2 linked regions of the Cricetulus griseus genome follow. The protein of the gene in region 1 interacts with the protein of each later gene in a pairwise test. Links are inferred from orthologs where the notes say so. Each region holds a gene or a part of one and is shown in the gene's direction. Other genes may lie near its edges. The genes, in order: Tfdp1 and E2f6.

Region 1 (15,475 bases):
CCAGAGAGTGGAATATTCATCACAAAAAATAACAAACAAACCAAAATCAAAAACAAAAAGATGATCAAACTGTAGAAATACCTAAGGGAACTTTAAATGATGTTTTCACAAGAAGAAATCAATTAAAAAATGTTGCATTCTTTACATGTTGTCTCATTTCAGCTATATGACATTCTGAAAAAGACAAAACTCTTAGGGACAGTAAAAGGGTCTGTGGGGCCTGGGGAAATGGTGTGTGAGGATGGGCAGCAGGACAGTGCATAAAGTTTTACTGAAACTATGAAATATGGCAGAAGTGGTTCCATGCCAGTGTGTGTTTGTCCAAACCTCAGAGAATATAATAGCAAGATTAGAACCTGCTGGATTGATGGTGCACATCTTTAATCCCAGCACTCTCAAAGCAGAGGAGGGAGATACCTGTGACTTTGAGGACAGCCTGGTCTACACCGCCAGTGCCAGGGCAGCATACTGACACACTGTCTCAGAGGCGGGGAGAAATAAAAAGAGTAGAACTTGTTATAAACTGTGAACTCTGGTGATAATTACAGATCAATGTAGGTACTGATTGTGACAAATGTACCATTTTGAGGCTACCTACTGGGAAGACACTATTTCTGTGGGTGGATGGCCATAGGAAAGATGTTCTGAAACTGACGCTCTAATAAAAAACAATGAAGTGAGTTTGGGGGTATAGCTTAGCAGTGTGCTTAGCATGTTCAGGGTCCCAGAGCCAATCACCAGCACTGCCATTAGAAAAGCAAACAAACAAGGCATATTCTTTTGAGAAGGAGGTCAACGATGCCAAAATTCACACTTTTCCCACCTCACTCTCCCCTACCTTGGATCAAAGGTATATAGGATCACACCTAGCACATTAAAAAAAAAAAAAACAAAAAAAAAACCAAAAACAAAACCAGATAGCCAAGTTTCAGCAAAACATGCTGAGACTTTATTGAGATATCATAGAACCTATAGGACAGTTTAAAGATGATGGCCAACTTAACAACATAGAGTCTCCAAATCCATCAATCCATTTTAAATCAATGTTTTACATTTTTTTGTAATCCATGGAATTTTACATATCTGAGTTAATTTTAGATTTCTCTCGTGTTATTATAAACTATATTTAAAATATATTTCCAAAAGATTATTGTTCTATAGAAATATAAGCTATTTTATATTTATTTGCTACAGAAGACTGGGAACCCAGGAGCTCATGTATGCTTGGCAAGTGCTCCACCCCTCAGTTATGCTTTGGCTCCCTGAATGGATCTTGTATAACAGAAACTGCTTTATTAACTGATTAACTGTAAAAGATTTCTTGACTTCCCACACATACAGTTATCTTCTGAGAATAAATATGTCTTCCTATCCAATATTTATGCCTTTCAATTTTTTTGTCTTACCTTTTAAAATGTTTTTGGTAGTCTATCCCCCACAGTGTTCTTGCCGGCGTGGGTGTAGTCTATCCCCCACGGTGCTGGGGTCGGCGTGGGTGTAGTCTATCCCCCACGGTGCTGGGGCCGGCATGGGTGTAGTCTATCCCCCACGGTGCTGGGGCCGGCATGGGTGTAGTCTATCCCCCCATGGTGCTGGCATGAGTGTAGTCTATCCCCCACAGTGTTGGTGCTGGTGTGGGTGTAGTCTATCCCCCACGGTGTTGGTGCTGGTGTGGGTGTAGTCTATCCCCCACGGTGCTGGTGCCGGTGTGGGTGTAGTCTATCCCCACAGTGTTGGTGCCGGCGTGGGTGTAGTCTATCCCCCACAGTGTTGATGTGGTGTAGTCTATCCCCTACAGTGATGGTGCTGGCGTGGGTGTAGTCTATCCCCCACGGTGTTGGTGCTGGTGTAGGTGTAGTCTATCCCCCACGGTGTTGGCGTGGTTGTATGATGGCCATGTGAGAGTGACAGTGTGGCCTGCCAGGGTTCTTATGTGCAGGTCAGAGGACAACTTTCAGGGTCTGTTCCCTCCTTCCACCGTGTTAGGACAGGGTCTCCCTGGTTGCTTCTGTTGCTCTCACTCTTTCTACCGAGGCAAGCTGGCCTGTGAACTTCTGGGTGATTTTCCTGTCTCTACCCTGTCTCTCTATGGGACTGCTGGGATTACAGACACAAGTCCCTGCATCAGGCTTTTGGAGTTCTGGGGATTGAACTCTTGGAGTCAGGCTTGTTCAGGCAACATTTTTACCCACTAAGCCATATTGCCCACCCCTTTTTCTAGTCTTATTGCACTGTTTAGGACTTCCGATTTATGCTGTAAAGAAGAGGTTGAAGCATAAAATACCCACATTTTTCACATTTTCTGTTTTTGTTTTTTGAGAGACAGGGTTTCTCTGTGTAGCACTGGCTGTCCTGGATCTTTCTTTGTAGACCAGACTGGCCTTGAACTGATAGAAATCTGCCTGTTTCTGCTTCCCAAGTGCTGGGATTAAAGGCCTGTGCCACCACTGCCTGAATCATGTATCCACATTTAAGCAATTATTATCATATTTTATCGAACATTGGAAGATAAATTGTCAGATCATAACACTGTGCCTAATTTCATAACCACTCTCTTCTAAGTTACCCTATGAAAATACCATTGTTATACCTAACAATTCATTCTTTATAGCTTTAAAAGGGGTGCATTGAAATGTATTTAATTAAATAATTGTTATAATAATTAAATTCACTTATGTGTATACTGGGTTTTCCTTTTTTAAAAACTTTGATACAAATCCACATATAAAGCTTATCTTTTTTTTTTTTTTTTGAGACAAGGTGTCTCTACATAGCCCTGGCTGTCCTGGAACTCACAAACTCACAGAGACCTGTCTGCCTCTGCCTGTCAGGTGCTGAGACCAAAGGTATGCACTATCACACCCAGTGGAAGTTTATCATGTTAAGTGTACAATTTACTAGTGTTAATTTACAATGTTTCGTACACATTACTATCATCTGTTCCTAAAACACTGATATCATTGCAAACAGAAACTCTGCAATTACAGGGAGGGACTATACATTTCTTGCTACCAACAGAGCCAGTACTTATTCTGACTTTACCTATGCTAGTAACTCACAAATTTATTCTTTTGTATCTGGCTTATTTTACAGTATAATGTCTTCAAGTTCCACCCATATGGTAGCATATGTCAGAATCCTGTTACTTTATATGGCTGAATATAGTTTATGTGTGCATATGTAGTATTTTGTTTATTCCTTCCTTTGTCAATGACAGGGCTACCTTTGTATATCCAGGATAAATTTCAAATGGTCATTATTACAGGAGCATAAATGACCTCGTAGGGGGCATGGAGGCTTTTGTGCTCACAGACATGCACAGGGGGACCTGGAATGTTAAACAAAAAGGGTTGTTCCTTTTGGGGAAGGAATGCAAAACCTGTTTTATACCCAGAAGGCTAGAGTGGACATGATTTCTAGCCTGGTGACCTTTGCGCAATCAGAATGGCGGAAGACTTTCTGGCACCACGCCCTCCTCCAGACCCTTCTTGTAAACTGGTTTTTCTTAGTCAATCCATGGAACTCATCTTTACGGAATGTATCACATATAGTCAATATATAGATACTATCTTTTTTAGGTAAGGTGTCACATGTGCCTTGCAAAGAGTTCATTGTAGTCACTTCTCTGTATTTAGCTTGTTTTGTTTCTCAAAGAGATTTAGACATGCTTTGTTTTGCACATGGAATTGAGTTAATCATCACAAGAAAAATTTTCACTGAATTGTGCTGTGTTTAAATATGCCCGAACTAAACAACTCAGATTCAGACTCGGCCACTGAGTTGTGTCAAGCTGAACTGTCTCCTAGCCTCCTGTGGCTCATCTCTCTGTTACCCGTGAAGACTGCAGACATCCCCGCATGACCCAAAGACAGCTACATCATCAAAGACCACCTCAGAGACAACTCTTGAAAACTGGAAACCCAGAGCTTATCGCACAATTTGCAGGCATCTCAACAGTTGAAATGTGTATTTTTCTGTAGCTCGGTTGGTTAGTCTCTTCCAGATTGTTGGGGTTGTCTCTCATCACTCCTTTCTGCTTACATAAGCTTGGGGAGGGAAAAACCTAGTGTGTTTGGTTTCAGGGACTTCCTGAAGCTCTTCAATTGTTTACTTCCTGACTTTTTTTTAAGATTCATTTTTTTTTTGTATATGCATGGGTGTTTTGCCTGCATGTATGTATGTGCACCATATGTATGTCTGGTGCCTAGAGGCCAATAGAGGGTGCCAGATCTCCTGGACCTAGAATTACAGATGGTTATAAGCTGCCATGTCCTCTACAAGCACAGCAAGTGCTTTTTAACTTTGGGGCCATCTCTCCAGCCCCTACTTCCTGAGTCATAAGGACCCTTCCTTCAGAACATTAGGGATCTTCCCCACTGGTGGAAATGCTACACAAAAATCCCATTTTGCTCTTTGCCTCCCAGTGGTGAAGAACAGCTCTCCTCGGCTACATTCTTCTTCCCATCATGATATTCTGTACATGTGTTTGGGACCAAATGGCCGAAAACTGAAACTTCTGAAACCAAGCGCCAAAGTACACCTCTCCTTGCTTAAGTTAGTTCTCTCTGGTGTCTTTGTCACAGTGAAGACAATGGTAACTCAGGTACATATTGGAGAGTGTGTCTTCTTTGAAGTCCATTTATTGTAGTGTGTCTTGCTTACTCATCACCCAAGAAACAGGTCTGTTTATCACAGATTAAAAGCAGAAATCAATCCATCTTGACCCTTCCCCCCAGACCACACATTTTGTGCATTCTCTGGTTCCTCTGTTCAGCCTGGTTTCTGCATCCTGTCAATATGGCTTCCCGAGAACACTTTGAGTTCTGTCTGTATCCTCCAGTGAATTGAGTTAATGGCTGTTGTCATGTGAAGTCACTCCATGTAGTTAAGAAACTTGCCCTTGTTAAATATACACAAGAGGCAGGTGCCACTTCCCATCTTAGAGACCAGGATGGTGGTTTTCTTTTGTTTTCCTGTTACCTGGGGGAGGGGAAAAGAGGGGAGGGGAGCCAGAATTGGAGGACTCCTGGCCATTTGAAGGCCTCCATGCATGATTTCAATTCTGGCACGCAGAACCAATGTTAATTAAATGCTTGACAGCTTAAGAAGGTGGGGCTTAGCTGAAGTGGTAGGAGCAGGTGTAGTCAGCATAAAGGTGGTTAATTGTAAAGCCATGCGAAATAGGGGTGTCCAGTAATGACATGTTGCATATGACTGGGGGAGGCCTTTGGTCTGTGCTCCTCAAGACTCTTCATAGATGTTAATTAGCCCAGCACTTGGTACAGCTCTGACCTCTCTATTACTAATCAGCTGGCTGGGGTCATTCTGCTTTACCCAGATCACATGATTGGGCAAGGAGACGATTCTCCAGCTCTAGTAATCCTGGCCCTTACATGCCCAATGTTTATGGGATGGACTGGCAGATCCAGAGGCTTACAACTGTCTCCTGAAAACCAGGGGCCTATCACTCCATGCTTCAGAAGCCAGAGGTTTACGGCTCCAAATACTGAAGTTGGAGGTTAAATATTCTGGAATTTAACCACCAGCAGCCACAACACTGGCAGCTCCTGGAATCCTTAGCTTCCATCGACAGCAATGGCCAGTGTCTGCTAGTGCTGTAACTTTGCATGGGTGCTGGGAACCTCAGCACCTAAGTGACTCCTGTTGCAGTTTTCAACCCTAGAGTAAGACCATTACCCCTCTTCCAGTGTCTGGTACTCTGTTTCTCCTCTCTGCCTCGTCATCACCTTTGTCAGTCCTGGCTCTTGTCTCTGTCTCCTGAGTATGCTGTTGTTCTTGCCCCACTCACTCTCCGGAACTCTTCAGAGTCCCCCTGGTGGCTACTAGTGCTCCATTGGTGCTTATGGCTTATGTCATCATATTACCAGTCTAGCTTATAAAAATAAAAAAAAAAAAACGTGCATGATCACTCCAGAGACGTCTTTATTGGACAAAGGACTTACCCAACCCACTGAAAAAGTGAGCCAAATAGCTTGTTTATATAGTCAGGAATGAGGCGTGGCAAGGATGTTGGCACCAGTCACAGTCCTTCCCTGGGCCACTAGAGGAAATATTCCCCCACATCCCCCAACCCGTGTCCTGGTTGAAAATGGTCACTAGGGTTTACCAAGGCTTGTGATGGAAGGAGTCTGATGCAAGTTATTGAAATAACCATACCTTGAATATTGCCTTCTGGAATCATGGTTTTGCTTTAGCATAAGCAGCTGTGGTTGCAGTATAGCTTCCTCATGGCATCTAAGGAGTGCTCAGAACAGGATAGCGGCCAGGATGGTCCAGTCAGATGCTAAAGAAGGAAGGGCTGTTTGGCTGAGTCCTATGGCCAAGGCAGCTAGGCAACAGAGAAGGATGTGTCAATCTGGGAGTCAAATTGGCCTGTCCCTCAACATCTTAGCTTATTTAAAGGAAAGACAACCATGTAAAGGGTGCTTACACTAAACATCCCGTCACTCACATCCACAGTTCTCTGATAGCATTTAACAGCACTCTACTCTTGAGCCATATATTGTTGGGCAAAGCTGGGTCACTTTACCCAAACCATTTGGACTGATTTGGGAGGCCTAGCCTATTCTCTTCCCAGGCTCTCCAGCTTTAGTCCTAAGGTAGAGGTCTCCAATGTGGACTGTCTTCAGGCCTCAGGGTCTACCAGACCCCTCCTGGGATGAAGCCTACAGACTCTGAAATGACAGGAGCAAACACCCTTTCAGGATGCTTCCTGCCCTGAATCACTGACAACCCAAGTTCAGGCCATGTGGCTGTGGACGTCAATAGCTGAATAGTGGCAGGCTCTCTATGTCTCTGCAGTGTCCAATACGTGTGTGCATCCCAACAGTCTTCACTATGGCCTGTGTAAATGTACAAAACTCCTCTGCTGGGGGTGCACATACAGGTACGTTAAGGCACTCCTACAACTGACCTCTTTTTCCTCATGCGCACATAGCTGGCCCCTCTATTCGTACACACATACCTGTATTCTGTGCAGACATTAAACACAAATATACATAGTTGTATGTACAGGGGGTTTTCTGTATACATGTTCAGGCGTGCACGCCCGACTCATACTCTGCATATGCACGTGTATACAGCTATACTATCTGCATATACACAGGTGTGCCCACGTTACTCTTCTATGTGTACCTGCAGGTATGGCACACACCACAGATCTTTCTCCGTTGGCAGGTATCACACACACACACACACACACACACACACACACACACACACACAGACACACACACAGGCAAACACGTGGCCCTCTATTCCCTGCGCATGCACACAGATATGCATTCAGTTGGCCCTTGGTGTACACACAGAGGCGCGCACACACGTGGCCTCCATGCGCACATGCAGGCGCGCGCAGCACTTTTCAGTGCGGGCGGTCTCCAGCCGAGTCCCGCCGCACGCGCACGCGCGCACAGGCCCCTCCCCTATCCCAGGGCGGGTAGCACCGGCGAGAGGCGCGGGAGATGAGCGGCGGGAGGAGGAGGAGGAGGAGGAGGAGGAGGGCGCCGAAGGCGCGAAAAGGCGCGCAGGCGCGCTGCGCGGAGCGGGCCCGCCGCCGCCCACGTCACCGCGCCGCGCGCACGTCACGCCGGCCCGACGCTCGGCCCAGGGTGAGCCCGCGTCCGGCGCCGCTGGCTCAGGGCAGGGACCGCCAGGGCCGGACCTCCGGGCCGGCGCCCCCGCGCCCCCGTCGTCGCCCCGCGCGCCCCGCCGGCCAGCCAGGTGTGGCGGGGGCGCTGGCCGGCCGAGCGGGAGGGCGCGGGCTGGGCGCGCGGCCCCGTTCCCGCCCCAGCCCGGTTCCCGCGTCCGGCTGCATCCCGCCCGCCACCCAGCCTCAGCCCGGAGTCGGCCTCGACGCGGCGTGGCGTGGGCGGCGGGCAGGGGTCCTGGCCACCCTCCGGCTTTCTCCGCGCCAGCGCGCGGGGCTTGGTGGCCGGGCCTAGTGACAGGTGGGGCGGGCGGCGGGCCGGGAGCCCACCTGTCAGAGTGGTCGGCGGCTCCTTGGGGTCTTGGCAGCTCGAGGGCCTGCTGCGGCCCGGGGTTTGCCACGCAGTGTCGTGCCTAAGCTGGGGGCCTTGTGCCTCGGTGGGGCCTGTGGTCAGACGGGGCCCGCGCGCCCAGGTGGGGTGAGCCTGACGGCTGCGCCTTACTCTGCCAAGGGGTTGGGGTCTGGACCCTCTGCGAGTGGGAGCTGCTGGTGGCCGCAGGGAGCACTTCCATTTGGAGAGGTGACTTAAAATCCCCGTGTGGGACCTGCTTGGCTAGCTCTCCTGTCGGGATTGTGCAAGAAAGGCCCCTGCTGCCTGGAGGCCTGCCTCGTGCTGGTGGGGAGATGTTTCCTTTGAAATGCGATGTCTGTTAAACTTCTTTTTTCATTCTCTCTCATTAATTGTCTCCTTCCTTTTTGCCAGATAAGTCCGGTTTTTTCTGTGGCGGGTACGCAGTTACAGCCTTGATTTCCTGGATCTGGTAACATGGCAAAAGATGTAAGTATGATTGCTTCGTGCTGCAGACATGTTAGCTCACTGCTCCTTGCAGTTTTCTCTATGGCCGTGCGTGCATGGCCGTGGTTTATCCTCACATTTTACACGCAGGAGCTGGGATGGAGGTGAGGGATGGAGAGTCAGTAGGTGGGTGCCTCCCCCCTGCACAAGTGTTCTTTGTCATCTGAAGACTGACACGTTATTTGTGGTTGGATGATGTGGTCTTGATTTTTCCCTTAACCTATCTAGACAGTTTAAATTAAAAAAAAAATTGAATACACCTCTCAATTAAAATGAATGTGTGAGGGGGGTGTTGTGTGTTAGTGGGTTTCCACTCAGGACAGCTGTCAACATGGAACTTAGGCTGTACTTGTTTTATGTAGTACGCAGGACCGTAATTCAACTTTGATGGATTGAATATCAACAACTTGTTTGGGCACATTTTTCTCAGAAAGATGACATCTGGTGATTAATGAAACACGGTGGAAATGCTGGTTGGTTTAGCTTTATATTTATCTTGAAGCTACTGGATATTTTGAATAATTTTTTTTTTTGAAACAGATATGGAGAGTTAGGCTTTTAGGCTGCAAGATATAGTCTCTGTTGTTGGTTACATATATTTTTGCAATATCATCCTAACTCCTTCCAGCACTAATGATCTCCTTTTCAGTGTTCCTCAGCATTCACTGCCCTGTGAATGTTAGATTCCTGTATTTTCTGTGCAGCCTGGGAAATGCAGGCAGACGCGCTACATCATCTAGAGTTGTGCTCAGGTGTAGTGTGGCTGCGTCTATGGTGTGGGGCCAGGTACCGGTGGGTGCTGTGTCCTGTCCACTGACTTGAGGACTCAGCTATGCTTAATGATCCACATGGGTCAGACGGTGCCACTCTCCCTGTCATCAAGCACTTGGCTTGGGCCTGCTCTTTGGAGTTGTGTCACACCCTAGGAGATCTTGTATAGGTCACCTGAAGTCACAACCATATATGATACTGGCTTGATCTTGTTAGGTCCAGTTGTTTATCTACACCCATGTCCCCACTCTTCTCCATATGTATGCCCTAACATGTATGTGTGGGCTCAGCACATGCCCACAAAGTAACTAGATTTGGTAAATGGTTTGTAAATGGGATACTGGCCCCCATGCCTTTGTTAGGTCATGGTACTGGCACGATATTATTGCATTTTCAGTGAGCCAGCATGCTCAGAGTTTTGTCATTTTAGTTTTGCATCATTCACTCCCTTTCCATGTGCTGTGTCCCTGGGGAAAGGGGTGGTGCACTGTGAGGACAGGTGGTCAGGATCTCCCATCACAATGAGAGTCTGAGGCCAGCTGGTTTGGGGTTATCCATTGTGGTGTGGCTGGGCTGGTGCAGTGACTGAGTAACAGGGTGCTGGAGCTGACTCTCATCACCACACATATTCACACGCCACAAGCGTCTTCCCCAGTCAGAGGGGAATCAGAGACTGCAGACAGTCAAGGGTTGGGCCGTTCCTGTAGCCAACCATGTCTTTATATAGGATACGATACTTGTGTTTCAGAGAGGGACATTGTAGTCTGTGCTGAAGGAGAGGAAGTAGGCACCACTGAGTTTTCTAAGCACTTGATACTGGGGATGAAATCTAGCTGTAAAGTATAGCTGGACACCTGTGAGAGCAGAGGGGCTAAAGTCAAGCTCTGGGTCATGGAAGAGGACCAGGAAGGGTAGAGAGAAGACAACAAATAGCTAAGGGGCTTTCTGCCCCAGCAGATGCCCAGGCAGATGGGCAGGTGAGGGTTCCCTGTGAACTGCAGGCTGTGGCACAGGGCTGGCAGTTACCAGTGAACAGGATGGGATGACAGGAGCCGATTATGTTGACCTGGCAAAGGATTTCTCCCATGCAGGACAAGAAAGCTGATGTGGGAAGGCGTGGGAGTGGGCAGGAGAGTGAGGAGTGATGGTGGAAGTGGGGGTGAGTGCCTGCAGGTACTTGGAGATGCCTGCTTGCAGTGCTTTCCTGTAACACTGCAAATTGTCCCTGTGGAAGGCATGTGTATTGAATGAACCATGATGACCCTGCTGTAGGGGCTGGAGAGCCTGGTATGAGGGGGTATGTCTTAGAACATGAATGTCTTCTCCCAAGGTCAGGCTAATACTCACTGCCTGAGGAGTTGTGCTGTCTTACTGGGAAGACTGCATTTTTGGACTTGCCAATCTTCAGAAAGTTTCCACCTCATAGATGTGCCCAGAGGAGCATTTCCCAGATGACTATGAATTTGGTCATATTGACAATGAGGATTAACAATCACAGGTCTATCCCTTGTCAACCCCACACCAAACACATCATTTTAAATCTTAACATTCTATCCTTAGAGGTTCATCTCCTAAGGCAAGAAGCTTTTATACTTCATTGGCATGAGCCTCTACAATCTTGACATTTCTAACATTGTTCAAAACTCTAAATCCCAGGCTGTTGAGATGGCCGGCTTGTCAGACCTGACTACTCGAGTTTGCTCCCTGGGACCTACATGGTAGAAGAGAACTGACTCCCATAATTTGTCCTCTGATCTCCACGTATTTACTGCACCCTCCAATAGTGAAGACTGGACCAGTGCAGGACCAAAATTCAGTAGGACAAATACCAAACCATGCAACTCCATGTATGCTATCTTGGGATTGTGATGGAATCCTCTGGGCTGTGACAGGCTTGGGTCGCTTTGCCCCTTTAGTAACACTGCCGGTAGCACTTGAGGCTCTTTCTTGGGCCTGCTGCATTTTGTGCTTGCAACTTTCCTTGGCAGATGTTCCTTGGTCTGGTCCCGATGTATCTTGTGTCTTGAGGTCTCCGTTGCAACTTAGGCTTTCCCTTTCCAGCGTCATTCAGTGGCCTCTCAGACTATTTGCAAGGACTTCAGCCCTGCCCTCACTTATATTTTGCATGCCTATAAACCATCCCGAGGACAGTGCCAAGTTCTGCTACCAGCTTGAGATAGATGGCCCCTTCTACTATGGCTGCAGTGACCTTCTATGTCTTGGGAAAATACTTCTCTAAGTGGTTGTTTTCATTTGATGGCATTCTCAGTTCAAGCTTTTTCTTTGAAATAAGTTTTCATTTTCTTAAAAAAACAAAACACTATTATTTGTGGGAGAGTGTATATTTGTGCATGTATGTATGTATGTATAGATACATATAACTTTGTAGAATTATTTCTCTTTGCCTCTTCATGTGGGTTCTGGGGGACTGAACTCTGGTTGCCAGACTTGCTTTTACCTGCTGAGCCATCTTGCCATCTGGAGTTGGCGTTTTTTTGTTTGTTTGTTTGTTTGTTTTTTTACCAGTTAGACCTTTCTAGGAGTGAGTCTTGCCCTAAGGATGCTTTTCTTACGTGCTGACTGTGCCACAGCCTGGATGCCATGCTGTCTTGAAATTTCCTCTACCAGACAACTTAATCCATTACTTTTATGTTTGGCTTCACTCTGATTTTAAGGGCATGGCCAGATTGTTTGCTAGAAGGTAACACAAGTGGTCTCTAGCCCAGTTCCCAATAGAATCCTGGTTCCTCTCTGAAACTTCATGAGCCTAGCCTTCAGTGTCCACATTTCCACTGACATTCTGGTCTTTTCAAATGCTCACCAGAATGGACTAGTAATTTTTGCTTATAGCATTCCAGGCATTCTCTATACAACAGGCCTATACAACAGCAATGGCCTATTCCTCAATACCAGTTTTCCGTATTAGTTACTTTTCTCATTATTGTGACAAAAGCAACTTAAGCAAAGGTTTATTTGGCCTATAGTTTGAAGGAACCGTCATGCTGGTGAAGGTGTGCTGGAGGTGCTAAGCTGGCCATGTTGTGTCCGTGGTCAGAATGCAGAAAGATGTACGCAGTTGCCAGCTACTTGCCTTATTCCTTTTAGTCAGTGTGAGGCCCCAGTCCGCATGGTGCCGCTTACATTCAGGGTGCGGCCTCAAGTGAAACCTTGCTGAAAACAGACACCCAGAGTTGTACTCCTACAGCATTCCAAATCTAGTCAACCTAACAGTGACGATGAGCCATCCCTGGTATCCTGCAGACAAATTTCATTATTGTAGCCTTGTTTCCAACCTATCCTTTCTGTCTTTTTAGTGGTGGTTTGACATGTTGTAGAGTTGTAGACAGTTGCTACTGAAGAGGTAAGTTAATATGGGAAAAAACTACAATGTAGTTCAGTGGTAGCTGCCATAGCCTTTATCTACAGATTGAAACCTGCTTTATGAGAGGAGTCCACTTGCTTCAGTTTTCTGCATGCATTGTCCCCAGGATATCCAATTCTGATTTTATGGCTGGATGGAAAACAGAAAGACACTTGGACATGGCAGTCTCCTAGATTTCAAGTGATCTCTTCATAGCAAAGAGAGATGGTGTTGGTGTATAGGGCCAGGTTTTAGCTGCTCAAGTCTGGCGTGTAAAGGTTGTTCAGGAGGGCCTGTTGGCATTAGCATTCTGGGAAGAGGGAGGCTGGAATCTGGAGGTGGAAGAGCCCCTGGCCCTTTTGCCATGAACATATAGATTGCTGGGGGTTCTGTGGTTTCCAGGATCAGTCTTTTTTTTTTTTTTTTTGGTTTTTCAAGACAGGGTTTCTCTGTGGCTTTGGAGGCTGTCCTGGAACTAGCTCTTGTGGACCAGACTGGTCTCGAACTCACAGAGATCCGCCTGCCTCTGTCTCCAGAGTGCTGGGATTAAAGGCATGCGCCACCAATGCCCGGCTCAGGATCAGTCTTAAATGGTTACAAATCCATTGTGACCATGAGGATGAATCCTTGGAGGGTGATTGTGATGTTTGTGCACACCTGTACATGTAGTGTCTCTGAGTTGTCAGATTTGTTCTGGAAAGACGATGGATGCCAGGTGACCACTGTGGATGTCATCAGGCTGTTGGAAAGCACTTATTTTAACTTTCACTCTCCAGAATAGACTTCAGCAGCAATATTTGAAAGTTGCAAAATTGTTTAGCCTTATATAATATAAATAATAAATTGTATCTTGTCAAAAAAATTGTAGGGGGTTAGAGAGCTGGCTCAGTGGTTAAGAGCACCCAGGTTTAAATTCGAGCACCCAAATGACAGTTTAAAACTGTAACTCTGGTTCTAGGGGATCTGACACCATACTAAATGCACATAAAATAAAGTTAAGTAATTTATAAAAGAAAAAAATTAGGAATGAGCTGGGCATGGTGGCATATATCTTTAATTCTAGCACCTGGAAACATAGGCAGGCAGATCTCTGAGTTCAAGGCCAGCCTTTTCTCCATATAGAGTTCTAGATCAACTAGGGCTACATAGAGAGACTCTTATTTCAAAAAACAAAAAGAATTTAGAGGTTAGTATTTTCCTCATTTTTTTTTCCTTTTTTTGGTATCTGTTCTCAGTCCAACCATGTGGGTCCTAGGTATTGAACTCAGGCTCAGAGACAGGTACCTTTACCCACTGGGCCATCTTGCGAGCCCATACCTTGAATTTTAACATCAAATACTGTTGGGTTTTTTTTGTTGTTGTTGTTGTTGTTTCATTTTTACAGCACTGGAGGTTGAATCTAGTATTTTCATTATGCTAGATTATGTCACTAAGCTATATTGTCAGCCCTCTTTTTTTTTTTTTTTTAATATGAGGTAAGTTGCCCTTCCAGTCCTTGAATTCATTCTGCAGTCTTTCTGGCCTTGAACTCACTCACAGTCCTTCTATTTCAGTCTTCTGAGTACTGGGATTATAGGCCTTTGTCATGATGCCTGACTATAGTTGTTGTTCTTTGGTATGACCATTAAGATTTTCTGAGGCTGGAGCTGGAAAGATGGCTTTGTGGTTAAGACTACTTGCTGCTTTTGCAGAGGTCCCAGGTTTGATTCTCAGCAACCACATGGTGGCTCATAGCCATATGTAACTCCACTTCCAGGGATCTGACACCCTCTTCTGACCCCCAGAGGCACCAGGCATGTATATGGTGCACTTATATGTGCAGGCAAAATACTTATACACATAAAAATAAATAAACCCTCCCTCCCTCCCTCCCTCCCTCCCTTCCTCCCTCCTTCCTTCCCTTCCTTCCTTCCTTCCTCCTTCCTTCCCAGTTCTGCCTGTCTTGGAACTTGATATGTATACCAGGCTGGCACAAAATAAATCTTAAAACAGTTTTCTAAGGCCTAGGTTCATTCTAGTGGTTGCATATGATGTAGGGTGGTGACCTGTCAAACCAGTGTGCTGCATCACTTCTGAGTCCTTGGAGGTCTTATTTGTAGACTCTGTTTTGCCTTTTAAGAAAAATCAGTTTTGAGGCAGGCCCTAGGTTCAACTCCCAGTGTTGGGGGGGGTGCAGTTTTTGCTGTCAGGGCTTATTTGTTTGTTTGTTTATTAATTTATTGGTGTTGGGTGTTGAAACCAGGGTCTCATACACCCTGGGAATGTGCTGTATCTCTGAACAGCTCTCTCAGCCCCTAGGATTTGAATTAAAGTTACCTTATTGTGCATGGAAGATGATGAAAAGGGAGAAACTGGGAGTTACTCTTTAGCCTCTGCATGTCTTCATGGCTAGGTTTGGGGTCAGCTTCAAAGTCACACCTATCTCTCTGGTCTGGTATGTTTTTGGGCCAGTCAGTTATTGAAGATGATTATTGCTTTAAAAGATGTTTCAGCAATCTTGCTATTCTTACTTCAGTCACTTGTGTGGCCTAGAAGAGACATTTGCCTCAACATCGCAGAGATGGCCTGAGTGCTGATGCTTGGTTGAACCCTCTGTTTGTGGTACTTGGTGTATTCTTCTGTGCACAGTTGCAGCCTGCAGGTGTAGGACTGAGCTCTTGAGTTCTGCATCTCTAGGTTGGTGCTTCAGAATGCAGTACAAGCTTGCTTTTGGAGAGTGGCAGGGACCGAGGCAGCTCTTGTAGTTGGGCAAGAAAGTGAAGTCCTATGCTGTGGGACAGCCGCTTCCTGATCTGTGAAACCCCACCTGCTCATGCTA
Region 2 (14,961 bases), on another chromosome or scaffold:
AATCTAGATTCATGGGTAACTTGTCTTTAAGTGTCTTTAGCCCTTCCTTGGCCTCTAGTCTGTTCTGTTAGTCACCTTCTATGTGCCCCAGAGCATTCTGTCCTCACTGTTCCATCCTCTGCAAGGCTTGTGTATTTCTGTCCATTTCATGCTATCGTGAAGATGTGGCCATGCACAAAAAAGGTTAAACAAGTTAATAGAGTGGGGACTCTGTATTTTCTTGCCTATAAAATAGTGACTTAACATGTCAGTCATTTTAAATTGACTTTAAAAACTGCCAGAATTTAATAAGCCATTGTGCAGAGCAGTTACATGTCTTGCTGGGTGTTAGTTGCCAGGATAAATGGCTTAAGCCTGGTCTGGGCTTTGGAACAGGGAGAAAATAACACTGGGTGGAGGTGAAGTTGTTTTGTGTGTTAGAAGATAAGGAAGATCTGGATGGGTGACGTGAACACAGTCACCTTGGAGAGATCTATGTTCTCTGAGCTCCTGAAGGAGTATTGCTCCCACGCAGGGAGCTGGTACAGAGAAACCCTGCATAGAGACAATTAACCATTTTGGAGACAGGGCCTAGGACATGAGTTTCTACATGTCACTTTTCTCCCCCACCTTTAAAACTTACAGCCAGGCGTGGTGGCCCTGCTCTGTAATGCCAGTCCTTGGGAGGCAGAGGCCGAAGGATGGTAAATTAAAGGCCTACCTGGGCTACATAACAAGTTCCAGGCCAGACAGGGCTGTACACTGAGATCCTGTCCTGTCCTTACCCCAACCCTCCAAACCGAGTAGATTCCAAAACCACATAAAAGCTGTAGATATAAAGGGAATGGGGCCAGGGGATGGTAATGTTGCCCTGTGTGCTCCCAGATGTAGACACGGGGGCTTCTAAACGTGGGGATGGAGCAGCAGGGAAGCAGCTTAGAACATGTCAGTGTGTAACTCACTCATCACTGCTGAGTGTTCTTTGGAAGCCCTGAAGTCTCTAGAAGTATTCACTTGGGGAGGGGAGGGGTATCTGCCCTCGGTTCGTGTAGCAGCAAAATGGGTCGGTAGCTCCACGGAGTGTTAGCCAGGCATGGTGAGCAGCACACTCATGTGCTTCTAGCCCTTCAGGAGGCTGAAGCAGGGGGATGGCATGTTTAAAAGCAGCCTGAGTTACATAGGGAGTTCTAGTATAGCCAGGGCATGATAGCAAGAAACTGTTTCAGAAAAAGGAGGAATTTCATGCACAGGAAGAAAACAAATGATGGGATTGGGACCTGTTTCCTTTGTCACTGCAGGCAGAGTTCGGGTAGGGGGAGGACATCCTTCCTTATGTCTCATTGCAGTGCTGTCCCTGTACCAACCTGTGGAGGCAGAACTGCCTCCCCTCTAAAGCAAATGGGCAGCCAATAGGGAAGCTGTCTGTGCAGAGCTTGGCCCCACCAGTCTAGGTTAGGAAAGGAACCTTCTGCAGCAGGCAGTGATGAGTGCTATTAACACTTCTGCATACTTGTTGATACGCTTTTCACATCAGTATATCAGTGTGAGGAGGCTGGGATTCGAGGCTCAGTTAGCAAACTGTTTACTTAGCATGTATGGAACCCCAGTTCAAGCCCCAGGACCAAATAAACAGGCATTGGGGTACAGATCAGCAGTCCTAGCACTCAAGAGATGAAGGCAGGAGAATCACAAATTCAAAGCCATCTTTAGGGACAGGTTGAGTTTTGAGGCTAGCCTGGGCTATGTGGGACCCTTTCTCCAAAAGCCTTGCAGGCCAGCAAGATAGCACTTCCTGCCAAGGTTATGGCACTTCCTGCCAAGCTTGACAGCACAAATTCAAGCCCAGAGAACCATATGGTGGAAGGAGAGAACTGACTAACTCCACAAAGTTATCCTCTGACCTCCACATGTACAGCCTGACACATCCACACACAAGATACATAAATGTAAGAGGAAAACAGATCCCTTGTTCCAGTAGCCAGCCCCTGTCTCATCCTGTGTTTGGAGAACAGTCACGTGTAAAAATAGCAGTGACAGTTGGTCACACTCATCTGTGGTCGGCTTTCACAGGGCCTGCTTCAGAGTTCTGATGTTGGATGCCACTGCCAGCAGTGTTGAGAGCTGGTCCCCACCCATGGGAGAAGTGTCCAACTTTGGGGTTGCACACCCAACAGGCCACCTGCCCATTTCAATCCTAGACTGTCCTAAACTGGTTTTGTGGCATGATGTCATCTCAAGTTAACCTGCTACCAGATGTTGTCATCTTGTCAGAGGTGACAAGAATCATCTGCAGAGGCTCTATAACTCTGATATGAGCTGCTTCTCTGTTGCCCACCTGGCCTCTGGCTGTCCCACCCCTGACCCTTTAGCCAGCTTGTTGTCCCATCTGTGCCACAGTTCTAGACCATGAGCAAGATTGTGTTGTGGTCTTGTCCAGAAGTCTTTGGTGGGTCTCTGCTGGTTAAAACAAGACTTCAGCATGGTCTTGATGAGGTTGGTCATCTTTCCAGCTACAAAACTGGGCCACTCCCACATGGCCATAGCATGTCCTCAGGCAGGGAGCAAAAACAAGTCCTCAATGTATTGCAGATCATCGTTCCAGTTTATGAAGCTTCAGTAGTCTCCGAGTACCTGGCAGAAAGGGGAGACTGACACTAGGACCGCCACCGGTTTGCCTGGTTGTTTTCGGAATTAACTATATTTTTATCTCTGTATTCATAACTTGTACTGCTTGTTATTTTTTAAAGGCTTCTGATTGTTCATTAATGGGGCTGACAGCATATTTTGGGGGCCACTTAAATGGTGGGGCTAGGGGGGTGAGCCTTGGCTGGTGTATCACAGAGTCCACCTGTCTGAGCCTTTTAGGTCCTAACCATCTGTCTTTACCATCTTCTCCCCAGCGCCTGCTGCTGTCAGGAATTGTTTCCCACTTAAGTGTCCTGTCTTCCACCATCCTTCCTTTATTCACACTGAAATATGTGCAGCCTGAGAGGCCTAGTCTGGGTGGGTCCTTAGAGATAGGGTTTCTCTCTGTAGCCTGGCAACATGGTTGTTTTTGAGGGTTCATAAGGTCACAGAATAGAACTAAAGAGACAGCGAAGGGTACCCTGGTGGTTGAAATTGAGGTAGGTGAGAGGAGTGGCATCTTTACCCCTCCCAGATGCAGTTTGAAAGACTCCTTTTTTCTTGCCCTCATGACTTCAGGTGGAAAAAAGGCCTTAAAACAAAACAAAACAAAACTGTATCATGGCCAGGCATGGTGGCGCACGCCTTTAATCCCAGCACTCAGGAGGCAGAGGCAGGCGGATCTCTGAGTTTGAGGCCAGCCTGGTCTACAAAGCAAGATCTGGGGCAACCAGGGCTGTTACACAGAGAAACTCTGTCTGGGGATGGGGGTGGGGGGGATGGATAATTGTATCATAGAACAAAATTAATTCATTTGCATTGCTGTTTGTAAAATGCTAAGTTTATGTTTTCTTTTTTCCAGCCATCAAAAATAAGGATCAATCTAGAAGAAAATGTGCAGTATGTGTCCATGAGAAGTAAGTTGACTCCTAAGTAGGTTTGGGTTTATAGTTTGAATGTCACACAGTCAACATGGTTAGTTTGTCTGGTTGGTTTTTTATTTTGTTTTTTGAGATAGGGTTTTTCTCTGTAGCCTGGCAACATGGTTGTTTTTGAGGGTTCATAAGGTCACAAAACAGAACTAAAGTGACAGTGAAGGGTACCCTGGTGGTTGAAATTAAGGTAGGTGGGAGGAGTGGCATCTTTACCCCTCCCACAGTGCAGTGGCAGTACTGTACATGTCACCATAGGCTTGTGTCCACATGGTTCTCTGTGGCCCCTTCACTCTTCCTGGTTTTACTCTGTCACCAATTCATGTTTAGGGTATCGGATGATCTTTGTGATCGATGTCCCCTTCATTGACTTCCTCTTGATTTGGTTCTTATCACGGGCACTCCTTTCATTTACAGATGCCGAGATGTAGATCCTACAAACCGTCTTTTGTTTCCTTCAGCATCTGCCACCATCTCCCCTGTGGCCGGTCAGCAAGTTAGGTCAGCTTGACTCTTGAGGTGTTTCTTTCAACTGTCCCACACTAGCTGACAATGACATCTCTGCATGAGTGACCAAGCTTCAAAATACAGCCGTGGATTGTCATCCATCATGCATGAGTAGGCTGAGACCCAGAAAGGTTAAGCAGCCCACCCAAAGTTGGCGTCTGGTACCATACATATAGCTTCATCCTGTCTGAGTGGACTGCTGTCTCCAGCTGCCAGTCTGGCTCTCCCAAGCCCAGTCAGGGCTCTCATGCCTCTTACCCTCTAGCCTGGTGTGTGCCTAGTTCTCAGATGCTGCTTTGTCCCTCCTTGGAGTGGGGAGCACTAGGCTTCATCTTTCTGTGCTGCTCCCAGCATCCTCCTGTAGGAGTATCCCCAGTTCTTCACTCCAGTAAAGATGGCACACCATGTTCTCCAGTGACTTTGAATACCATTCAACATACCACTGTTTATGGCAGAGCTCCTTATCAGGCCCATGCAGTGCTCTTGCTTGGGGAGCTGTCCCCACAGCAGCCCTTGTTAGAGATGTTCAATTAGTTTTGTTCTTTATAAAGTGGCTGACATCCTGGGAATGTGCTCAGCTTACACTAATAGGACAAAATGTACCCAATAAATGTCTAGCCAGTGAGTGAGTATAAAATGAGAATAATGAAGTCTGGCATGTCTTGTGAGCATCATCCGATATCATGTTCCCAAGCCCTGGGATAGCTCAGCACTTCTCCATGCACTTAAATATGCAGCCATTTAGAGTAATGTAGCACACCTGGACACAGTGTGCACACCTTTGATCCCAACACTCAGGAGGCAAAGGCAGATCTCTGAGTTCGAGGCCAGCCTGGTCTACAGAGCAAGTTTCAAGACAGCCAGGGCTACACAGAGAAACCCTGTCTTAAAAAACAACAAAAAGGAATAATGAATGAAATAAATTTGTTCATACATCATGATCACGATATTGAAAGAGCATATTGCAGAATGCTATTTTCCTATTTTGCTTTTAAAAGCTATACGTTTAAGTGCCTGGAGAGATGGCTTAGTAGTTAAAAGAGCGTATTGCTCTTCCAGAGGACCCCAACACCTACACAGTGGCTCACAACCACTGCAACTCCAGTTCCAGGGGATCCCATGCCCTTTTCTGATCTTAGTGGGCAATAGACACACACTTGGTACACACACATGCAGGCAAAGCACTCATACACATAAGATAAATATTTTTTAAAGACTTTATTTATTTGTTATGTATACAACATTCTGCTTCCATGTATATCTGCACACCAGAAGAGGGCACCATATCTCATAACAGATGGTTGTGAGCCATCATGCGGTTGCTGGGAATTGAACTCAGGACCTCTGGAAGAGCAGCCAGTGCTCTTAACCTCTGAGCCATCCCTCCAGCCCCAATAAGTAAATATTTTTAATATTAAAACTATACATATGAGCAGAGAGTAAGTACATAAGATATAGTAGATATTTTTAATAAGTAAATATTTTTTAAAATTAACAGAAAAAACTATACATCTGAGTGAAGGATGTTGCTCAGTGGTAAGGTGCTTGCCTGGCCTCTGTGAAGCCAGGCTCATTCCTTAACACACCAAAGAAGAATGAACAAAAACTAGATATTGACGTCCAGATGTGTGTTGGCAGATTATGTGTGAAATGAAGGCATCTGATTTCAAAATCATTTCTAATCCTCTTTCTGAGAAGTAGTTCAGCGATGGTTACAGAAATTTCTTGGAGGGATGTGGACTTGTAAAAAATGGTTATTAGTGGAAACTCACCAGCCTTTATTGAAACCTGATGCCTTTGCTCAGACCAGCTGACCATTTGCCTTTCATCCAGTTAGAGAAATGTTTCCATAGAAACCAGCAGGGGTTTCCATGGCTGTCTGCTCCGATCCTTAGGGAATAAGCGGCTGTCCAAGAAATGTCGGCTCATGTGGCACTGTGCTCTCCTTTGCAGAAGCTTTGAAAGTGAAGAGGCCCCGTTTTGATGTGTCGCTGGTGTACTTAACTCGAAAGTTTATGGATCTTGTCAGATCTGCCCCTGGGGGCATTCTCGATCTAAACAAGGTTGCCACAAAACTGGGAGTTCGGAAACGGCGCGTGTATGACATCACCAACGTTTTGGATGGCATCGAGCTGGTGGAAAAGAAGTCCAAGAACCACATTCGATGGATGTGAGTTTATGTCTGTCCTTACCCTTTTCATTAACGTCTGTCCAGCAGCAGCAGCCTTTGGGAATAGAAAATGAGGTCTTTTAGGCAAAGATTCCATAAGGTTTTCTTGTTATCTCAGTGTACTTAAATGTATGGGACTACTGAGGTCTAAGTGTAAACATTCAGATGGTGTGTAAAGTTAAATGGAATAAGGTGGTTAATTAATTAATTAATTATCCCTATAAGATCATAAGAATGAAACATGGGATTTTAAAAAGGGGATTATTTTTAAGTGTATTTCCTTAGTGTGAATTAATAACGGAAGACATGATTCCCACGAGGCCATATAGTACTCAGCCAGGAACCCAGTCCCTCCTGACTCTTTCTGGAGCAGAGCAGATGTCAGCATGTCTACTGCATGACTGCGGTGCTGGTGAGATGACACACCACCCTGAGTGTAAAAACACACTTCATGCTCAAAAGGCAGTTGCTAAAGAGTTGACATGATTGGGAAGGGTCTCGTAGAAAGAAAGCCTGAAGATAAGACACAGACAGAGAGTGTATGCACAGGAAAAAAAAAAAAAAAAAAAAAGCTGTGTACTTAGGAAAAAGAATTCCAGCATGGGAGTAAATGAGAAATACAATAGGTAGTAAAACCCAAAGATGATCAGTGACTAAATGAATGGTAGAGGAAAGGGCTTCTTGAAGGACACTGTTTTAGAACAAAATACAGGCAACTCTGATGAGAACGTTCTCCTTCAGGGTACTGTATCAGTCATTCCGAACCTTAATCCCAGCACTCGGGAGGCAGAGGCAGGTGGCTATCTTTGCTCAAAGCCAGTCAAGGCTACCTAGAGAAACTGTCCCAAGAAAAGAAAGGACGGGCATAACCACACAGATGGTGTAAAAGGAAATGCAGATGCTCCCACTTAGCCTGCTCTCCCTCCACAGACAGCTTTGCTCCTCTCCTGGCAGCTGCTGACCTCGTGTCTGTTTTCATCTGCAGAGGATCCGACCTGAACAACTTCGGAGCGGCACCACAACAGAAGAAGCTGCAGGCCGAGCTCTCGGACCTGTCGGCGATGGAAGACGCCTTGGACGAGTTGATTAAAGATTGTGCCCAGCAGCTATTGGAGTTAACGGACGACAAAGAGAATGAAAGATATCCTTCCACCCATACCTGTGTAGAAGAACTTCTGCTTCCAGAGTAGATAATGTCTTAGGGAGAGATTGGGCGATTAAGTTTCATGCCTAGATATAAAATTAGGCCCTTAAAAGTACTGTAGCCTCGAACACACAAGAGCAATCCGTGTTAATTGTAGCCTCTCTGTGCTCCTGGGTCAAGTCTGCATGACAATGGTTGGCAGTGACATACCCAGTTTGCCCTTGCATGTTAAAATTAAGGAGTGTTTTGTTTGTTTGTTTGTGTTTTATTTTTTGTAATCTCTTTCCTGAATGGTAAAATGTTTGTCAGCTTTTGTAGAAATCAGGCTTTCCCCAATTTGTGAACTAGCCACTGCAGTAGTGTCTTTGCTTATCAGTCCATGCAGGAAGCCTGTAGAGCAGGAACTGGGAGAACCTGGTCCTTGGTACCTCCCCTCCCCCGCCACTGTTCTGCTGTCTACAGTTTTCTGTGCCCTCTGTGAGTGTCAGTAATTCCTGCTCCCTCCACTCTCCATGGCAGTCAAATCCTATTACTACAGGACAGAGCTTAGAAAATCAAAGCCAAGGCTCGCTGTGCCAGCTAACCGGAGAGTCTGTAGTCTAAAAGGAAGAAAGCCAGAGCAACTGGACCGAGTGAATGTAAAGTATCTGGCAACATCGTAGAAAGAGTTGAAAGGCGTTCGGTGACAGAAATGTGCTTAGAAGGAGATCACAGGTGCATGATCGCGCTGAAAGCTTCCTCTGTGGGTTCTTCCTGCTTTATGGACTTTTTTTTTCTTTTCCTGCCTTCTGGAGTATTTTTATCCAAATCGTGAATGCTTTTTTCTCAGGTTCCCATAGTAAGAGCCAACACTAAACTCTTAATAGTGAATGAGAATTCACACTGAATATAGCATAGGTGGGGATTTGAGCATAGTGCTTTCCCCTTGTTTGTGGTTTTGCTTTCTGTAATTTCTGTTGCCCACAATCAGGTATGATCTAAAAAATATCACATGAAAATTCTAGAAGTAATAACTTTCAGTATGCTATATGCTATAGTTATACTCCCTTATTATTATTGATTTCTTACTTTGCCCAGTGTATAAATTCAACCACACTTCAGAAGTGTATGTGTAGGGAAATACGTGCTATACATAGGGTTTGGTATTGGTCCATGACTTTGGGCATCTACTGGGGATTTGGGATATCCACCCACCACCTCACTCCACTCCAAGGACAGGAGATAGTTATCTTTGTGAGTTGTGTTTATGTTCAGTTTTGGGGGCTTTATTAATCTCTTTCTCCAAAAATTGCTCCAGTCAGTATTTGGTTTAAAAGAGTTCTTTGTTACAAATATTATAAAACACCATAAAATCTTAAGAATTCTTTTTGAAGTAATAATTACCCTGAAGTTTTGGTTTTTTTTCTGTTTCTCTTCATTATAGGTTTGTATCCCATAAAAGCTAAGCTATTCTTGTACCTGCATTCATGTAAGAGATAGTGATCTTGCCAGGCTTGGTGGCATAAGCCTTTTTCCCAGCACTCTTACATAATGAGACTTTGCCTCAAAAAAAAAAAAAAAAACCAGGGGCAGGGTTGGGGGTGATGACATGTCAGTTTTGTCAGATCCTTGACCAGGTTTCACACTAGCATACGTAACCTATCAGGATATCCACAGCATCCAAGCCTTCCATGAGCAGATTGTTATTGCTGTGAAAGCTCCAGAGGAAACCAGACTGGACGTCCCAGCTCCCAGAGAAGTAGGTAGTGCTTCACTACAGGAAGGATTTAAAGAGGGGCGTGGGTTAGCTGCCAAGTCCGTGACCACTGCAGTCACTTGTGTCCTATGCCCTTGCCAAGCTATGTACCTGTTAGCTTAACCATGAGTGAGGCAGTCCTTGTAACCTTCTCAGAGAGGAGAGAGCCAAGCACACAGAAGCAGGTGTGCTTCAGGAGCCCACACGGTGACCAGCAGGACCAGGCATAGGGCAGAGTTTGGCTTGCAGCCATGCTGCTGCTGTCCGACTACAAAAGAAATTGCTTCATTGGCTTTGCCTTGGTCTTCAAGTTCCAAAAGTAATAGCTGGTATGGCCAGAGCTCCGGGGAGCTAGCTTGCTACCAACTCACCAAAGACTAAGAGTGAGCTAGACCACCGAGTCACAGATATAGAACCTCTGTGTAAGGCCAGTCTTCCTATCTGCTGCCAACTGCTCCAGGAAGGTTTGTGTTGAGAGTCATTGTCACCAGAAGGTCCCTTGATGAGGATGGAGTCCAAAGCAAAGCTGGTGGCCCTTCTAGGCATTCTGACAGCCAGCCGGGTAGCTCCCATGCTGCTCATCACCAGCCATCATATCACTGTCGTGATGGCAAAGATTATTCCCACTGCCTTCCTTTCTTTTGTCCCCAGCAGTTCACATAAAACCCTGTCACCTGACAGTGTATCATCAGTCATGAAGGAGCACCACTTTTCCCTCGATCCTGTTCAGATTGTACCCTGGTGACATTCCCTAGTTTGATTTGGATTTAGACAAGTGTCCAAGTAACATATTTAGGATGAGTTAGTTATTCTGCAGACTCTGAAACTCTTTAGCCACTATTCTTGCAGGACAGCTTTTCTTTGGAGCATGGTAATCCGTCCTACAGGAATTAGCAGGGTTTGATCTCCCAGTGCTCTGAGCTGCTTGCCCGGAATTGCTAAATCACTCTGAACTGTTGAACACACACAGAGCCTCTCTCGGTCCCATTCAGAGCTCTGCAATTGAGGTCCTCCAGGCTGGTTGTTCTCAGCAGTGTCCTCGATCAGTAGACTGACTATGTGTGGCTCTAGTGGGGATTGTGTGCTTAGTACAGAGCTGGCATAGTGGCCTTCAACTCGTTCTAGCTTCCTACTTGTTCTTGTAAATTGTTTTGTTGGAGCAAGGCCATCTGTTTAGATATCACCCATTGGCTTTCATGCCACCATGGCAGAGTCAAGTAGTTGTGGCACAGCGTGGCCTGAAAAGTCAGAAACAGGTACCATCTCCTCTGTCCTCCTTTTAAAATTTTTTTGAAAACTTCTGTGTATGTGAATGGGTATGTGCACCTCAGTGCAAATGCCCCCTGGAGGCCTTGGCTGGCGTTGGACCCTGGAGCTGGAGTTCCGGGTGGTTGTGGTCACCCTGACATAGGTGCTAGCATCCGAATGCTGATCCTCCACAGGAGGAGAGCACACCCTGAACCTGTGAGCCATCTCTTAGTTCCTCAGGGTTCCTCTTTACAGAGTGACTTAGTGGCTGGTGGAGTTTGAAGTCTTTTCTGCTGACTGCCAGTCAGGAGCAACATTGTTTTCTTGAATTATTTGATGTTAAAAGGTTTCCATTTAAACCTGCCCTGGCATTGCAGCCTCCGAGCATGAAGGTGGTTGGCCTATCTCACCTGTCTGACAAGCTGTCAGCCAGCTTGTTTGGATGAGATCCCAGAGAGCAAAAGAGCTGGAGCGACGGTGACATCTAGACTGGCCTATCCATGTGGATGTGGAAAGGGTGCACTTGAGGAGCTCTGGGCCAGTTCCCAATGGGAAAGACAAGGAACCATAACTGCAAATGCCCCTTACATATTTAGTCTCTAAATACAAGCAACCACATTTTTAATTTCTTATGGGAAAACCATTGGAATTTGCTCCTGGGTAAATAGAACTGAAGCCAGAGGATAATAGTCATTTAATCTAGTGTTTCTCTTTGTGTATGACATTTCAAATTCCATGAGGCATGTTTTGATCTCATCTTTTCCTCTTCCATCTTTTCACTGGACAAAAAAACTAGCCTTCCTGTGACCTCAGTACCTCTACACTGGTTTGGAAACACCGTGTACGAATACGGTTGGGTACTCCAGAACTCCCTGCTGCCAGAGGAGGAGAAGGGGGAGGGGTTTCCAAGACCTCAGCTGTCCATTCTGTACCTCCAAGACCGTTGCTACTGGAATGATTAAGTAGAGGTCTTCACTGTAAATTGGCCAGTAGTTTAGAGTGCAGTGACAGTTGAGAACATGTTTATCTCAAATGCACGGTAGAAAGGAAGCTACAAGAATTTAAGTTAATTGAAAAACTGCAGTTAATTGATGCGCATGTTCACGTTGGCAGTCTGTGTGTCTCTTGCTAGGATTCTATCACAGTTCATATCCGAAGTACCAAAGGACCCATTGACGTGTATCTGTGTGAAGTTGAACAGACCCACTCAAGTGGTAAAACAGCCGATGGGGTAGGGGCCTCTCCATCTAAAAACAGACACCCAGAATGCCCCTCGAAAGGTAAACACGCCCATTTTGTGATCCGAGGAGCATTAGGGTTCCAGCATCTTAGATGTAACTTAAATACACAGCTTCAAGGTTTTTTATGATTTGTGTTTATTTCTAATTGTGCACGTGTGTGTATGTGTGTGTGTGAGTGTGTGTGTGTGCATGTGTGGGTGCATGCACATGAATATAGGTGCCCTCAGAGGCATTGGATCCCCTGGAGCTGGAATTACAGGCACTTGTGAGCCAGCAAGCATGGTTGCTAGAAAGGAACCCTGGTTTTGGGGACGAGCAGTAGAGCTCTTCACCGCTGAGCCCTCTCCAGCCTCTGAGCTGAGTGTGTCAGTGTACTCCTATAACATCAGCCCGAGGAAGCTAAAGCAGATAGATCCATATTGCAGGTCGGCCTCAGCTACACAGTGAGAGCCTGCCTCCAAAAATTCTATGACTAAGAGCATGAAAGTCAATTGTGTTGGGGCACCAGCTGGTACACTCTGGCCAGAGGAAGCTGTCAGTGCTGTCTGATAGGTGCTTTCCAACACTGGATTGGAGTTCTCATTTGTTCTGTGAGCCTAAAAAGATCATTCCGACCACTGGTGCGAGAGAAGGTTCTTGACCAGACGACTTCGTTTCTTGAAATTGTTGAATCCTGTACCTGGCTGCTGTTCCAGCCTTCACTCAGTTTCTTTGTATGTTTCGTTTCAGAAGACAAGTCTCCTCAGTCAGAGCCACTCAAAGTGAGCGACTGACAGCAATGCCAAGTGGTGAAGGTTTTTGGAGCCTCCTGCGTGGATGAATTATGTACCAGTTTGATCCTCAGCAATAAGTCTTCGTGGCGTGGTCTCGTTCTCTTACTCTAGATTCGTAGCAGCGTGAAGGCCAGTAGTGTCCCTGAGTAGCTTCCTGCTTAGGTCCCTGGATGGTTTCCACGTTCAAAATTAGCTATTGCTAATTCTTCGCTGCCTTTTGTCAGTGAGACGGACCTCTTCCCTCCTGAGATGATTTTATCACAGAGGATATCAGGAGAACAGACAGTTGGCCATGGTCGTGGACTCTGCCCTTCCCTGATGGATGGTGTTTTTGCTTCTCAGAAGAATTGCCTTACACTGGCTCACATTCACGGTTAGGTGTAGTGCACTGGTGAGGTGTACACACAGGACCAAATGTGGCGCCTTTGTACATATCTGTATCATGTTTAGATTGCTTATGAAATATGTCTGAGTGACACTTCTGCCCTAGATCAGCCAAAATAATGTATATAGAGAAAATGACAGCTCTCTACTTCTTCAGCATCAATAACTTATTAGAACCCTCTGGATGGGGGTGAGGGGAGTTTTCTAAAGTTTTACATGTAGACATTTCACAGACAATGCTGTATATTTAGGTTCACATACTTAAAGTATTTTAATACAGTTCCCAATGCTACAATAGGAGTTGGATACTTCTTGATTTTAAGCTGCCTACAGAGTCACTACTTCCCAGTAGATTGGTGGTGTGCCTCAAGGTGTTGGGGACAAGTATAGAAATGCCCTCTGGCAACGGATCAGTTCGCCACACCGTGAGTTTGGTCCTGGTGAAAGTAAAAGCATTGTCAACGCTTTGTGCAAGCAGATTTTATAATGTGTTTCTGTGTGCAGCCGCGCTGCTCTGTCAGAGGGTCTTAGCTCCCATGCATCATACCCTGCCCACCCTCATGCTCTCACCCAGCCTTCCCAAGCACCTAGCTGTTTCTACCTCAGTGGATAAGTCATTTACCTCTCTGTGCCTCTGTTTACCACTAGACTGTGAGCTCCATGAGAAACCTTTTCGTAGTCACGCTCAGCACCTCGCACCACACCTAGTCCATAATAAGTGCCCAATCAATGTCTATCGAACTAGCGCGTGGGTGAGTGCAACATGGGGCCGATGGAACCGGGCTTATTGTTGGACAGGAGTCTGGGGAACATCATTGGTATGTTAAACCTCTCTTGTTTTACAAAAGATTTGAAGCAACTTGAAATAATGACCATGTGTACAAAAAAAAATAAAAATTAAAGTAGGGAATCCAAAATTAAAGTATTAAAAATAATACGGCCTGGTACTTTTGATTCACACAGTCTCTGCTGGTATATTTCAAGATTCCTAGAAACTACTGGTAATCAGTATGTTTGGCCTCCAGACACCCCTTCCTTTCTTATGTATAAAAGGGTTTTGGTTTTTTTGTTTGTTTGTTTGTTTTTTTAATTAGCCAAAGAAAGGATTTAGCACAACCTTCCTAACACTGCCACCCTTTTACACAGTTCCTCATGTTGTGGCGGCCTCCCAACCATAAACTTATTTCCATTGCTACTTCATAACTAATTTTGCTACTGTGATGAAATACAATGTAAATATCTGTTTTCCGATGGTCTTAGGTGACCCTGTGAGGATTGTTCAATGCCCCCAAAGGGGTGGTGACCCACAGGTTGAGAACCACTGGCTTAGAAGCTATTCTGTTTCCTCATTGGACTACTTAGTGGAATGATTTGACAAGACAGGGAACCCAAGAAGAATAGCCAAGTGGGTAACAGTTATACTTTTGATGGGAGGGAAAGTTCTGGCAAGTGTGTGTAGAGATCAAGGCCCTGGGAAGAGCTGAGCTTGTAAAGTGCACTGGCAGGTGGTTCATGTATAAAAACCAGGAGAGGGAAGGAGCTCATCTGGTGCATTGACCACTTTTTTTTTTTTAAGATTTATTTATTATATATACAGTGTTATGCTTGCATGTATGCCTTCAGTCCAGAAGAGAACACCAGATTTCATTGCGGATGGTTGTAAGCCATCATGTAGTTGCTGGGAATTGAACTCGGGACCCCTGGAAGAGCAACCATGTGTTCTTAACCGCTGAGCCATATCTCCAGAGAGCATTGACCACTTCTTAACCACAGACTTAGAATAAAGTCTCTAGGTGGGCACATGTGCCCCACTAACAACCAGAAGTTCTGCTCCTAAGAGGGGAGGGATATATACAGGATGTAATGCTGATTATAACAGTTAGCGAGCTCTGGTTCTCCCCTCCCAAGGACTAGGAGAGTCTGCAAATAGTTTCAGACAGCTGACTATGAGGTAGTTACAGGTTGCAGACCATGCATCCAACAGACAGAAAGAGCCACAATTGACCTTGAACAACTTCATGGAACAGATCCTGCCAGTCCTCACAAGGCATGGAATTTGTCAAATATTTAGCTGCAGTATAATCTAACCCATTGTGGGGACTAATATATGAGTGGACAGCAGCTTTCTGCAGCCCAGAGTAAAGGATAATCCAGTCAGAATATCCTCGTCAGACCTAGAACTGTTGTCAGTTGGTTCTGATCAACAACAGGGTTGAAATAGTG

What was found.
Region 2: the proteins of Tfdp1 (region 1) and E2f6 interact in binary tests that used the Homo sapiens proteins (3 or more experiments, as listed by UniProt). The link is inferred for Cricetulus griseus from reciprocal best matches to the Homo sapiens genes TFDP1 and E2F6.

Annotation. Positions count from the first base shown.
Region 1 is NW_023276807.1:67,444,957-67,460,431, reverse strand, and holds the start of Tfdp1 (transcription factor Dp-1), read left to right. Parts: upstream 1-7,615; 5' UTR 7,616-7,743; intron 7,744-8,432; 5' UTR 8,433-8,495; coding exon 8,496-8,507; intron 8,508-15,475. UniProt on the Homo sapiens protein: Can stimulate E2F-dependent transcription.
Region 2 is NC_048600.1:26,020,989-26,035,949, forward strand, and holds the end of E2f6 (transcription factor E2F6), read left to right. Parts: intron 1-3,466; coding exon 3,467-3,521; intron 3,522-5,491; exon of another isoform or gene 5,492-5,996; coding exon 5,997-6,213; exon of another isoform or gene 6,214-6,268; intron 6,269-7,198; coding exon 7,199-7,354; intron 7,355-8,980; coding exon 8,981-9,095; intron 9,096-11,472; coding exon 11,473-11,620; intron 11,621-12,310; coding exon 12,311-12,354; 3' UTR 12,355-13,673; downstream 13,674-14,961. UniProt on the Homo sapiens protein: Inhibitor of E2F-dependent transcription. Binds DNA cooperatively with DP proteins through the E2 recognition site, 5'-TTTC[CG]CGC-3'. Has a preference for the 5'-TTTCCCGC-3' E2F recognition site.